3 linked regions of the Callithrix jacchus genome follow. The protein of the gene in region 1 purifies or fractionates together with the protein of each later gene. This does not show direct contact. Links are inferred from orthologs where the notes say so. Each region holds a gene or a part of one and is shown on either strand. Other genes may lie near its edges. The genes, in order: GSK3B, PPP2CA and PRKAR1A.

Region 1 (3,751 bases):
ACCATTATAGCTGAAAATTACCCTGGAATTTAAAAATATTTTTCAAATGACCCCATGAAGTACTTAGAAAGCAGGACCCTTCCCTGAAATATGCATAATCAGCTTTCCTCTTTACCTACCCCAGCATTCATTTGCAAGACACCTAAAAAAAAAAATTTAACTTTCAAAAATAATCTCCAATTCAGCTATTACCTAGACTATCCTGTTTCAGGCTAGTTCCCAAAGCCAACATGAATTGAAACGCTGAGTTCAACTAAAAGTGATCATTTTATGTTGCCTAAAGATATAATCAATTTCACATAACATACATTTGGGGGGGGGGGTTCTTAAAATCTCAGTTCTTTAGTTCTTCTAGGATACAAAATAACTTGTCTTTGCCCTTATCATGCCCCTCTTTTCCACAATAAGGAAACAATATAGATATTTTTGTTAAATTCTGGAAGTATGTTTAAACAAGCTATCATTAAATACCACATGAACAGCTCCACAAACAGAGATACACTGGAACATTAGATACTTGGTATATACTAAACACTTCAAGAGCATACTTTTCAGCCCAAACCCAGGACGAGAGTACAATGTATCCACAACCTTGAACGCAGCCCAAATATCCCTATTATTTCTAGGACCACAGCCATCTGCAAAAGCCAAAATGGAAAGGACTAAATCCACATTCTTCTAACTAAATCCAGTGTTACCTAAATGAGGTGGTAACTAACGCAAGAGTATTTTAAATGTCCTTTTTAAGGAACCCCCCTGTACTACAGAACATTTAACAGGTAATGAATGCAACAGCACTCCAAAATTTAACTTAAATGATAATGAGCCAGTGACAACATTTAACTTAGTATTTGGCACGATGACAAAACAAACAAAACTTGGACCTATTAATATTTCCAAGTTACCTTTTGATTAAATAATTATACAGTGGCAGGTTGATAATGTCAAAACAGGAGTTTAAGAGATAACACATCAAACCACTTATCCAAATTGAAGACAATGCATACAGAGATGCTACTGCTGCTGGGTATTTATTGGCTCCCACTGGTCCCTTCTAAAGGGAGAAATCAATGCCAGTCTCCAAATGTGAATGGTTACTGAGGAAGTTCATCCACAGATTAAGAATATTATGTATAGTCATACAGACAAGAAAAAAATGTTGGGAGAGTGGGACATTTCACGTTTCAATAAAGTATACCAAACTATGATAACCCCTGAGACCTAAAATACCCTCACTCATTCCAAAAGGCATACGTTCTGCAAACGTACATAATGGTTTATGAATCAAATCTTGTCCTCTTTATTCTAAAGGATGAGCAAGTAAACACTGTCATCACTAATATAACGTGGAAACACTCAAGCACTTGATGAAACTAACTACCAACAGCAAGAAAGTATACGAAAAGAAAGCAGTTTCAAATCGAATCGTCCAAATAAAAATCATATTCTCTCAATTCAAGGTTAATGAGACCGAGGGAGGGGGTATGGGAGAAGAAGAGAGGGAGCTGCTTCATTCTTGACTGAAGACAGGTTTTGCTCTTTTGCATTACCTGTTTGACTGTTTTATGAAGAGGTCTATTATTTTCAGATTCTGGTATTCCGAGGTTTCTAAGGGCGAGGCGGAAAAGGAGTGTAAAATAAAATCAATACTCACTGCTAACTTTCATGCTGCCAAAAGCTGAAGGCTGCTGCACCGGCTTGCAGCTCTCCGCAAAGGAGGTGGTTCTGGGCCGCCCTGACATGATCGCTCTCTTCGCGAATCACCTTTTCCTTCCTTCCTCCTTTTCTTCCTTTTGTCTTTATGTTGGGGTGTTAGGTTAATAATAAATGCAGCATTAAGTCCTCCCACAGAAGAAAAAGAAACAGACTCGTCCTTTCGGCTTTCCACTCCTTTTGTATACTATAAAAAAAAAGAGCGATGTATTTTTCCTTCAAGATAGGTCTGCACGGATATTTAACATATAGATGATTTAGGGCTGGGGAAAAAAATACAATTCTTTCCCCTTCTTTTCTTGGGAGGAGAAAAAAGGGGGGAAATCCTAAAAAAATATATATCACATGAAACGGGGGCAAATACTTGATTGAAAATGAGTACTTCAAATATTATATTTTCCTCGGGGATTTTTTTCCGAGTCAATGAAGAAGGGAAGCGGCGGAAGGATCACGAGTCTCACGCTTGAAGAGAAAGGGGGATGGGAAGGAGGGAGGGAGAGGGAGGGGGTGGCTCGGAGAGGCGACGGGAAACGCTGCAGCTCCGGCAGCCGCGGGATCCGGCGGGCTGACGGCGGGGGCCCGGCGAACTGAAGGGCGGTGGAGTCGCGAGTCAGTCAGAGACGGGCGGTGGCGGTGGCGGCGGCTCCTCTCCTCATTGCGCCAGGAGCAGCTGCAGGCGGCGGCTGGATCCAGCGGCCATGGCGGCGGCGGTGGCGGTGGCGGAGGCAGCTCCCTTCAGACCCCAGGCAGCGGCTCCTCGACTGCTCCCCATACGCAAGGGACATGGGAACCCGGCAACCGCTTCCGTCTCTCGGGGCCCCCTCCCCCGTCCGCGGCACCAGCGCGGCCGCCCTCCCGCCCCCCCCGCCCCTCGCCTCTGCTCGGTGCCCGCTCAGGAAGTGTCCGCGCTTTGCCCCCAGCCCAGAGCCCTGTCAGCGGCTGCGGGGCCGGCTCCTCCTTGCTTCCTTCCTTCCTTCCTTTGTCACTCGGCCCGGGCAGCGGCGGCGGCAGCGGCGGCGGCGGCGGTACAAGCCCGCATTCGCCCGGGTCGGGGGCTGCTCTGTGTGAGGAGCGCTGTCTGCGCAGCCGCCTTGCACTTCCCCACTCCCTCCTCCCCCCTCCTACTCGTCCTCCACCTCCTTCCTCCCCCACCCAGCCTTACACCGCCCAGCGTCCAGCCGCCCGCGTAACAGGCGTCTGGGAATCGCCGGCCGAGCCCCGCGCTCGCCCGCTTCGGCTTGGAGCCGAAGCCCGAAAAGAGCCAATCGCGGACGTCGTTTGTTTGCGACTCCTCCCGGATGAAGCCGATCGGCCTGAGAAACCAATTAGAAAATGTCGATGGGAAACCACGCCCAAAGAGCGGAAAATGCCGAAGGTAGCCGTACGGAAAGGGCTGGCTAGAGGAGACATTCGACAATGGCAACTGGGGCCAATCAGAATCGCCGGCCTCATGAAAACGCTTGAAGAGTTGAGGACGGTGAAACCCGGAGACGCTGGTGAAACTGCACGGCTGGGCGCCGCCACCGCTTTGTAATTGGTTGGAAAACTCCACTGGGAGCGTACCGCCCTTGGTGATTGGTGAAGGAAAGGGGGCTTCCGAGGACAGTCTAGCCAGTCAGGACTTCTCCTCCTTCTCCAAGGTGGGGAGAAGAAAGCGAAGGGAGGGCGCCTATAAAGCGCCGTCTCATTGGCCTGAAGCTTAGGCGCTGGAGTTGGGGCAAAAGGGAGAGGGAGGGAACCCGAAACCCGCAACGGTGGCCAATCGGCTCTCACTGCCGTTCAATCGCAAGACCTAGCTGCAGTGTGATTGGCCTTCGGCCTTGGTCCCAGGGAGCGGGGAGAAGCCCGACTGGGGTAGTGGCTGACGGCCTGACGGCTAGGCAACTGCCGCCTCCAGCAACGGTGGAGACCGCGGGTCCCCTGCCTAGCAAGTCGGAAAGTACTATGGTCGGCAGTGCTGGGGTCTGAGCGCTCAGCGAGCAGAGGGGTCGAGGGGCTTTCCTCACCCACAGGAGGCTCTCGGCCGGGCGGGGCCAAT
Region 2 (3,651 bases), on another chromosome or scaffold:
ATGATGAATGTTTAAGAAAATACGGAAATGCAAATGTTTGGAAATATTTTACAGATCTTTTTGACTATCTTCCTCTCACTGCCTTGGTGGATGGGCAGGTATGTGGATCTTAAAACTCCTTGCTGGTTATTTCAGACTCTGCTTTCTTTAATGTTGAGGTGCTCATGACCCTTTCCACTCTTTCTTTCTCTCCTTCCTTCCTTCCTTCCTTCCTTCCTTCCTTCCTTCCTTCCTTCCTTCCTTCCCTTCCTCCCTCCCTCCCTCCCTCCCTCCCTCCCTCCCTCCCTCCCTCCTCTCTCACCCAGGCTGAAGTGCAGTGGTACACACTCTGCTCACTGCAACCTCCACCTCCCTGGGTTGAAGCAATTCTCTGCCTCAGCCTCCTGAGTAGCTGGGATTCCAGGTCCCCGGCTAATTTCTTTGTATTTTTTTTAGTAGAGACAGCATTTCATCATCTTGGCCAGACTGGTCTTGAACTCCTGACCTTGTAATCCACCTGCCTTGGTCTCTCAAAGTGCTGAGATTACAGGTGTGAGCCACTGTACCCAGCTGACTCCACTCTTACACCACTTTGGGAATATAGTTTAGTAGAAATTGATAACATTCATTCAAACTTTAAAAAAATTTTAATCTGACAAATAATTGTGTCCGGTTTTTTAAGTGCATTATTATTTATATCAGGCACTGAACTATATGGTGGGATCACAGAGGTGGATGGTGTAACCCGTATATCCTCTCAGACTGTTTTTGGACAAGCCTGGGAGATGTAAGGAGCTAATTATTGGTTTAGGTAGATGTGTACACAAAAGAACTTACAAGAAAATTTTTTGAGTGTGAAGACGTTAGTGTCTGGCAGGGAGTAGGAGTAATATCCAAGAAGTTTTCTCAAAGGAGCTGTTAAAGGTGGAGTCTGGGTGTGACAGCAATGGTCTGTTAGGAAGAATGGGAGTGTACTCAGTAGTTCAGAGTGGGCTGGAGCAAAGATGTACCCTGCAGAGTCAACCCTCATTCAGGCAGAGCTCAGAAACACCAGTGGGGCCCAGTGATGGGGGCACCCAGCTCAGTTTTTTAAAATTTTATAGAGACACAGGGTCTTGCTGTGTTGCCCAGGCTGGTCTCAAACTCTGGGCCTCAAGCAGTCCTCCTCCCTCAGCTTCCGAAAGGGTTGCAGGCATGAGCCACTGTGCCCAGCCAAGAATGTTTACCAATTTTTTAGGTGAGGTTAACATTTTAAACCACTCGTTTCAGATATTCTGTCTACATGGTGGTCTCTCGCCATCTATAGATACACTGGATCATATCAGAGCACTTGATCGCCTACAAGAAGTTCCACATGAGGTATGACTTTTATTTGATAATACGTTTTCTGAAAAGATTTTAGGGAGTGGAGAAGTTTAATTGTAAGTTAGTTCATTATATGTATTCTCTCATTTAATTCTCAAAAACAACTTGAGGTGTGAGCATTCTTTCTGCCCTGTTCAGAAGAAGCTGACATTAAGAAATCTGCCAAGATCACAATAGCTATGGAGCTTGGTTTATTAGGACCTAGGTTGTCTGTTTCATAGCTCTGAAATTTGCATAATATAGGCAGATTAATAGGGCATGTTGCTGTTGGGTCCCATGGATGTCAGCTGTGTCTCATAAAGACTGCTAGAAAATACATCTTATTTGATGCAGATGTGTGACTTCAGTTGTACAATCTATTAGCATTTTCCACAAACATCACTCAAAAAGGGTGACTTAGGTGCTGCTTCTGTTAAATTACTCAAATACTGTGTTAACCATGTTTGTTAAAGGCAGTTTATAACTTGAAGTTACTTTTTAGGGTCCAATGTGTGACTTGCTGTGGTCAGATCCAGATGACCGTGGTGGTTGGGGTATATCTCCTCGGGGAGCTGGTTACACCTTTGGACAAGATATATCTGAGACATTTAATCATGCCAATGGCCTCACGTTGGTGTCTAGAGCTCACCAGCTAGTGATGGAGGTATGCTCTGTTCTTTGAAATACGACTTGCTTCTTAGTAAACTTAAGGAAAGATATTAGGGAATTTTAAATTAATGACTTGTGAGAAATTCCATTTATTCCTTCTGATGAGTTTGCCGTTACAGCCTGAGCCTTTTCAGTAGATGGCACACAAGAATTAAAAGCTCAAGCTTTTGATTACAATTAATTAACCATTAACATGTTTTCAGAGAATTCTGAATGGAAGTGCTTTGGGATTTAAGAGTGGGAAAGTAAGATGTAGGGAGTTGGAGTGTGTGTATAATATTTTATTATCCCACTGTTTATTCCATATATTTAACATGTATGTGTGTAGGAGAGACTGGAAAGAAATACACTAAAATGTTTTAAATGGTCCTTTGGTTAGTAGGATTACAGGTGATTGGAAAGAGACTAGTGTTCCTTTTTTTTTTTTTTGAGATGGAGTCTAGCTCTTTTGCCAGGCTATAGTTCAGTGGCGCCATCTCGGCTCACTGCAACCTCCACCTCCCAGGTTCAAGCAATTCTCCTGCCTCAGCCTCCCAAGTAGCTGGGATTACAGGCATGTACTGCCATGCCTAGCTAATCTGTGTATTTTTAGTAGAGACGGGGTTTCACCTTACTGGCCAGGATGGTCTCGATCTCCTGACCTTGTGATCCACCAACCTTGGCCTCCCAAAGTGCTGGGATTACAGGCGGGAGCCACCGTGCCTGACCAAGGCTAAGGTTCTTGACATGGCACACTGATGAGCATATTTTAAAAAATAAAGTCCTAATTAGTTTAATACTAGTATAACTCTGTGGGTATTGATAAAATCTGACTTTGCTAAAGATAAATTTGTGAACAGTACTAAACAAAAAGTAACAGAAGTAGCTCGTACATTCAGATGGATGGACTTTGAGGAAGCAAGGCTGGAAAGACTAGAGGCATGTCTCATTTGTTCCTGGGCAGTGAACCACACACTAATAGGCCTTTACCTATGACAAGAAAATTAGTGAGGTTATGGTCTCCAGGATTAGGTGTCTACCTCTCTAGGGAATGGCCACATAAATACTTATTCTTAAATCAGGTTTTAAGGCCACTGCAGTAGAAGAGGCTAATGAGACACTACCATTTTCAGCAAGTCAGATGCATAAGAAGCAGTTTATTCTTCGGTGGTTGGTGTTGTTTGTTAAAGGCTTTTTTTTTTTTCCTTTTTAGTACTAAAAAACTGAGTTTTATAATTAGGGGAAAAACAAATACATGTGTGTCTTACAGGTTGTATAAAAAGGGTTATTTACAGATTGTATAAGGGATATTTACAGGTTGTATGAAAAGGGATTATTATTACCGCAAATTCATAAGTCATCCAGAAAAAAAGCATTAATGTTTCTTAAGCCTCTTTGGCAGGGGTGGGAATGAGTAGAGATTTTCCCTTGAGTGAAGTAACATTTAGTTGTAAATAAGGGAGTAAAGTAAGATATTTATCTCATTTTCCTTGTAGGGATATAACTGGTGCCATGACCGGAATGTAGTAACGATTTTCAGTGCTCCAAACTATTGTTATCGTTGTGGTAACCAAGCTGCAATCATGGAACTTGATGATACTCTAAAATACTCTTTGTAAGTACTTCTACCTGCCTGAACAGTTGATTGAATTGGTAAATATGTAGGTTTTTATTTTGTTT
Region 3 (3,651 bases), on another chromosome or scaffold:
CTACCTGGGTGACAAAATTATCTGAACACCAAATCCCTGTGATACCCAGTTTACCTGTATAACCTACACATGTACCCCTGAGCTTAGAAAAAAAAAAAAAACTTATGGCAAAGATAAGTCTGAATTTTAGAAAGACTGGACACCAATAGCATTGATTTTTTAGGATTATTAGGAAATTCAGTGACCTAATGCAAGTAAAATGCTTAGCATAGTGCTCAGCACAGTTCTTTAAATATATATGACTGGTATTAGTGCTGAGCCAACCTTTTTCCCTTACATCCTTACAGAGTGCTTTTTTTCTTACCAGATAATTAAATCAGGTAAATTATAAAGACACTTATTTAACCCATCAGAAATCAATTATTCTCTGATGTGTACTGAAAACATAATATATTCTGTTTTTTAAAACAAAGTTCAGGATTGTGATCTTTTAAAAAGCTTTGAGGGTTTTTAACATTTATGTGTTTGTGTATCTAGAAAAAAACTTTTTTGCTGTCACTTGCACTTTAGGTCTATGTCAACAACGAATGGGCAACCAGTGTTGGGGAAGGAGGGAGCTTTGGAGAACTTGCTTTGATTTATGGAACGCCTAGGGCAGCCACTGTCAAAGCAAAGACAAATGTGAAATTGTGGGGTATCGACCGAGACAGCTATAGAAGAATCCTCATGGTAAGAGATCATAGCGTTTGAGAGTGTGATTTAGAATTCTCATCTATGTAACTCATGTTTGAATATTACCAAATTAAAATCAGAATGTTTCTTATAATGAGAAAATACTTTGCATTAAGCCCAGCTTAGCATTATTCATTATGCCATTTTAGACAGTGATATTTTAGAAGAAAAGCTTGGGAAACAAGATCTGGGTATATGTGCCAGTCAGCTCATGTTTGGAAATCTGTGCATTTGCTGGTAGGCACTTCTTAATTTGCCTAATTTTACCCATCACAGATAGCCTGATAGGTGTTGCTTTTAAGGGCCTAATGTTATTTGGGGCCATTCAGACATAATCAGCTTCCCTAACCTATGAAAGTGGGTTATCAGTAATGCATATGTATGTCACATCCCCGCTTGTTAAAGGAATAAACAAACTAATTGGAACATTCTGGTGATACAGTCAGACTTTCGGAGAACTTTGTGATGAATTTATAGAATAGCTTTGGATGTTTAAGTCCCAGCCAATGCATTAGTCATTTTGAATGGTTTTCATTTGAAAATGTACAGTCTGATGTACTTTGAAATTTTTCTGCATTTGGGATATATATATAGATTAGATAGATAGTCTTGTCCTTTGCAGCAACACAGATAGAACTAGAGACTATTTTTCTAAGCAAACTAACACAGGAACGAAAACCAAACCAAACGTTCTCACTTACAAGTGGGAGCTAAACAATGTGAACACATGGATACTAGAGGAGGAACAATAGACACTGGGGCCTACTTGAGGTGGGAAGAGGGAGATCAGGAAAAATACCCCTTATGTACTTTGCTTACTACCTGGGTGACAAAATTATCTGAACACCAAATCCCTCTGACACCCAGTTTACCTGTATAACCTACACATCTACCCCTGAGCTTAGGGGAAAAAAAAAAAAAACTTATGGCAAAGATAAGTCTGAATTTTAGAAAGATTGGTTTTGAAATGATGCGATGGTATACTGAAGAAGAAATTGATCATACAGTTCTGATTTTCTCTGCAGGAATACTGTTAGTAAAAGGAAATGTAGAGTGTTTACAGCTTTATCTCATTGCCAAGGAAGAGTAGGACCTAGAACTATTGGTTTGAAATAAAATACTTTACTTTCTCATAGTGGGCCTGAAAGGTAGTTAGGGCCTCACAGTGCCTTGGCTTTGTGGACAGGAATTAGGGACTATAGATATGGGGTGAAATATCTATATATCTGGGTAGGGGAGGGTATGGTCCTTTTTTATAGAATAAAGAAATGTCAGTTTTATAGGTGAGAAGCCAAAACTAATGGAGGAATCTGCATCTAAATATCAGTGTTGAACAGGAAGAACACTAGGATTAATGGGACGTAAATGAAGACTTAGATCAATTTTGTGAGAAAATATTTTCAGAGATAGATTGAGTTGTCAGTGGCGCAAAATCAGTTTGAGAGTAAACATGGAAATTGTGCATTGGTGTAAAGTGTGTGGAAAAATATCTTGGGTGATACACTCAGGTATAAACCGGTATTTCTACTGTATTTGAAAGTTGGGAAATGCTTTGTGAAATATGTCAGCATACTGGTTACAGATGCTGGGAATTGGGCATAATATTGGCAGAAAATATAAATCACAAGAATGTCATTTTATATCATTACCTGTAAAATAAAAATCAGTTAAAATTAAGTTTTCTTCATTAACAAAAAGCAGCAACAAGCTTTGACTTTCTGGTTTTAAAATTTATGTGAAACTTAATATTTATTCCATAGTATTATGTGGTGATAATTGCATGTCTTGGGAATATCACTTTTGTTTTTATTTTTAGGGAAGCACACTGAGAAAGCGGAAGATGTATGAGGAATTCCTTAGTAAAGTCTCTATTTTAGGTGAGTTGTAAAGTGTGTTGACTGCTAGTATATGAAATACCCCTGAATTAAAATTGGTTGGACTTGGGAAGAGACTTCTGAAAGTATCATTGCTACTCCTTCCCCCTTAAGAGAAAGAAGGGCTGAAAGTCCTGCAGACTGGACATTCAGTTATTTTCTCTCTGACTTCTGTCTCTTGTTCTATCATTGAGTTGATAGGTTCAGAAAAGTGAGTACTTCCAAGAATATGTTTCCTCTGTGGAAAGATTAGGTGTCATTTGCTAGCATCATCATCTGAAAACATACCAGAAGTTTGTTGAAATTTAGAGTAAAGCAGATTAATTGAAGATAATCTTTTGTGCATTTTGTTATGGGGACTTGGAGATGTTGTTAGCACTTGTTCTTCACAAAGGGGGAATGGGGATTTTTATAAGATAACAGGCTTCCACCATTGTTTCTTACAGTTAATTGACTGCCCCCCCCACCCATTTGTCTTTTCTTTGAATTGGTTACATTTACTTTGTGTTTGGATCGTAGTTTGGCCTTTGGGAATAAAAGTTATTTTCTAGTTCTTGTTTCATAAAGTTAACGGAGGATTTAAGTAGATTAAATTATTTTGACGAAACTTTGGAATGATATGGATGGGAAACTATAACTTTTGAGTATTGTAGTTGTGGGTTTGATTTGCACTGATGGCAATCTTCAGGAATACTTAATGATTACGTTTTCTTACTCCTTTGCCATTGGGTACAGTTGGTATAAATTAACCTGGCCACTGGGACTGAAGTAAGGATCTAAGGGCTATCTGCAGGTAATATGAGAATCCTGCTCAGCCTAGAGGTAATTGAAGACAGGCACCATGTTTAATCTGAGACACTACTAGAATGTTGAATGGGCATGGCTGTTTGGTTGAATCTCTTTATACTTTCTTTGTACCTTCATGGTAGCACCAAATAATACAGAGCAATTCTTTTGATTCTTGTCTTTTAGAGTCTCTGGACAAGTGGGAACGTCTTACGGTAGCTGATGCATTGGAACCAGTGCAGTTTGAAGATGGACAGAAGATTGTGGTGCAGGGAGAACCGGGGGATGAGTTTTTCATTATTTTAGAGGTAAAGAACTC

The links.
Region 2: the proteins of GSK3B (region 1) and PPP2CA purify together in Homo sapiens (affinity purification with western blotting; 3 studies listed by BioGRID, with this or other methods). This does not show direct contact. The link is inferred for Callithrix jacchus from reciprocal best matches to the Homo sapiens genes GSK3B and PPP2CA.
Region 3: the proteins of GSK3B (region 1) and PRKAR1A purify together in Homo sapiens (affinity purification with mass spectrometry; 3 studies listed by BioGRID and IntAct, with this or other methods). This does not show direct contact. The link is inferred for Callithrix jacchus from reciprocal best matches to the Homo sapiens genes GSK3B and PRKAR1A.

What each region holds. Positions count from the first base shown.
Region 1 is NC_133516.1:82,767,601-82,771,351, reverse strand, and holds the start of GSK3B (glycogen synthase kinase-3 beta), read right to left. Parts: upstream 2,780-3,751; 5' UTR 1,743-2,779; coding exon 1,655-1,742; intron 1-1,654. UniProt on the Homo sapiens protein: Constitutively active protein kinase that acts as a negative regulator in the hormonal control of glucose homeostasis, Wnt signaling and regulation of transcription factors and microtubules, by phosphorylating and inactivating glycogen synthase (GYS1 or GYS2), EIF2B, CTNNB1/beta-catenin, APC, AXIN1, DPYSL2/CRMP2, JUN, NFATC1/NFATC, MAPT/TAU and MACF1.
Region 2 is NC_133503.1:74,131,509-74,135,159, forward strand, and holds part of PPP2CA (serine/threonine-protein phosphatase 2A catalytic subunit alpha isoform), read left to right. Parts: coding exon 1-98; intron 99-1,248; coding exon 1,249-1,338; intron 1,339-1,825; coding exon 1,826-1,987; intron 1,988-3,467; coding exon 3,468-3,586; intron 3,587-3,651. UniProt on the Homo sapiens protein: Catalytic subunit of protein phosphatase 2A (PP2A), a serine/threonine phosphatase involved in the regulation of a wide variety of enzymes, signal transduction pathways, and cellular events.
Region 3 is NC_133506.1:124,604,331-124,607,981, forward strand, and holds part of PRKAR1A (cAMP-dependent protein kinase type I-alpha regulatory subunit), read left to right. Parts: intron 1-510; coding exon 511-669; intron 670-2,488; coding exon 2,489-2,549; intron 2,550-3,518; coding exon 3,519-3,640; intron 3,641-3,651. UniProt on the Homo sapiens protein: Regulatory subunit of the cAMP-dependent protein kinases involved in cAMP signaling in cells.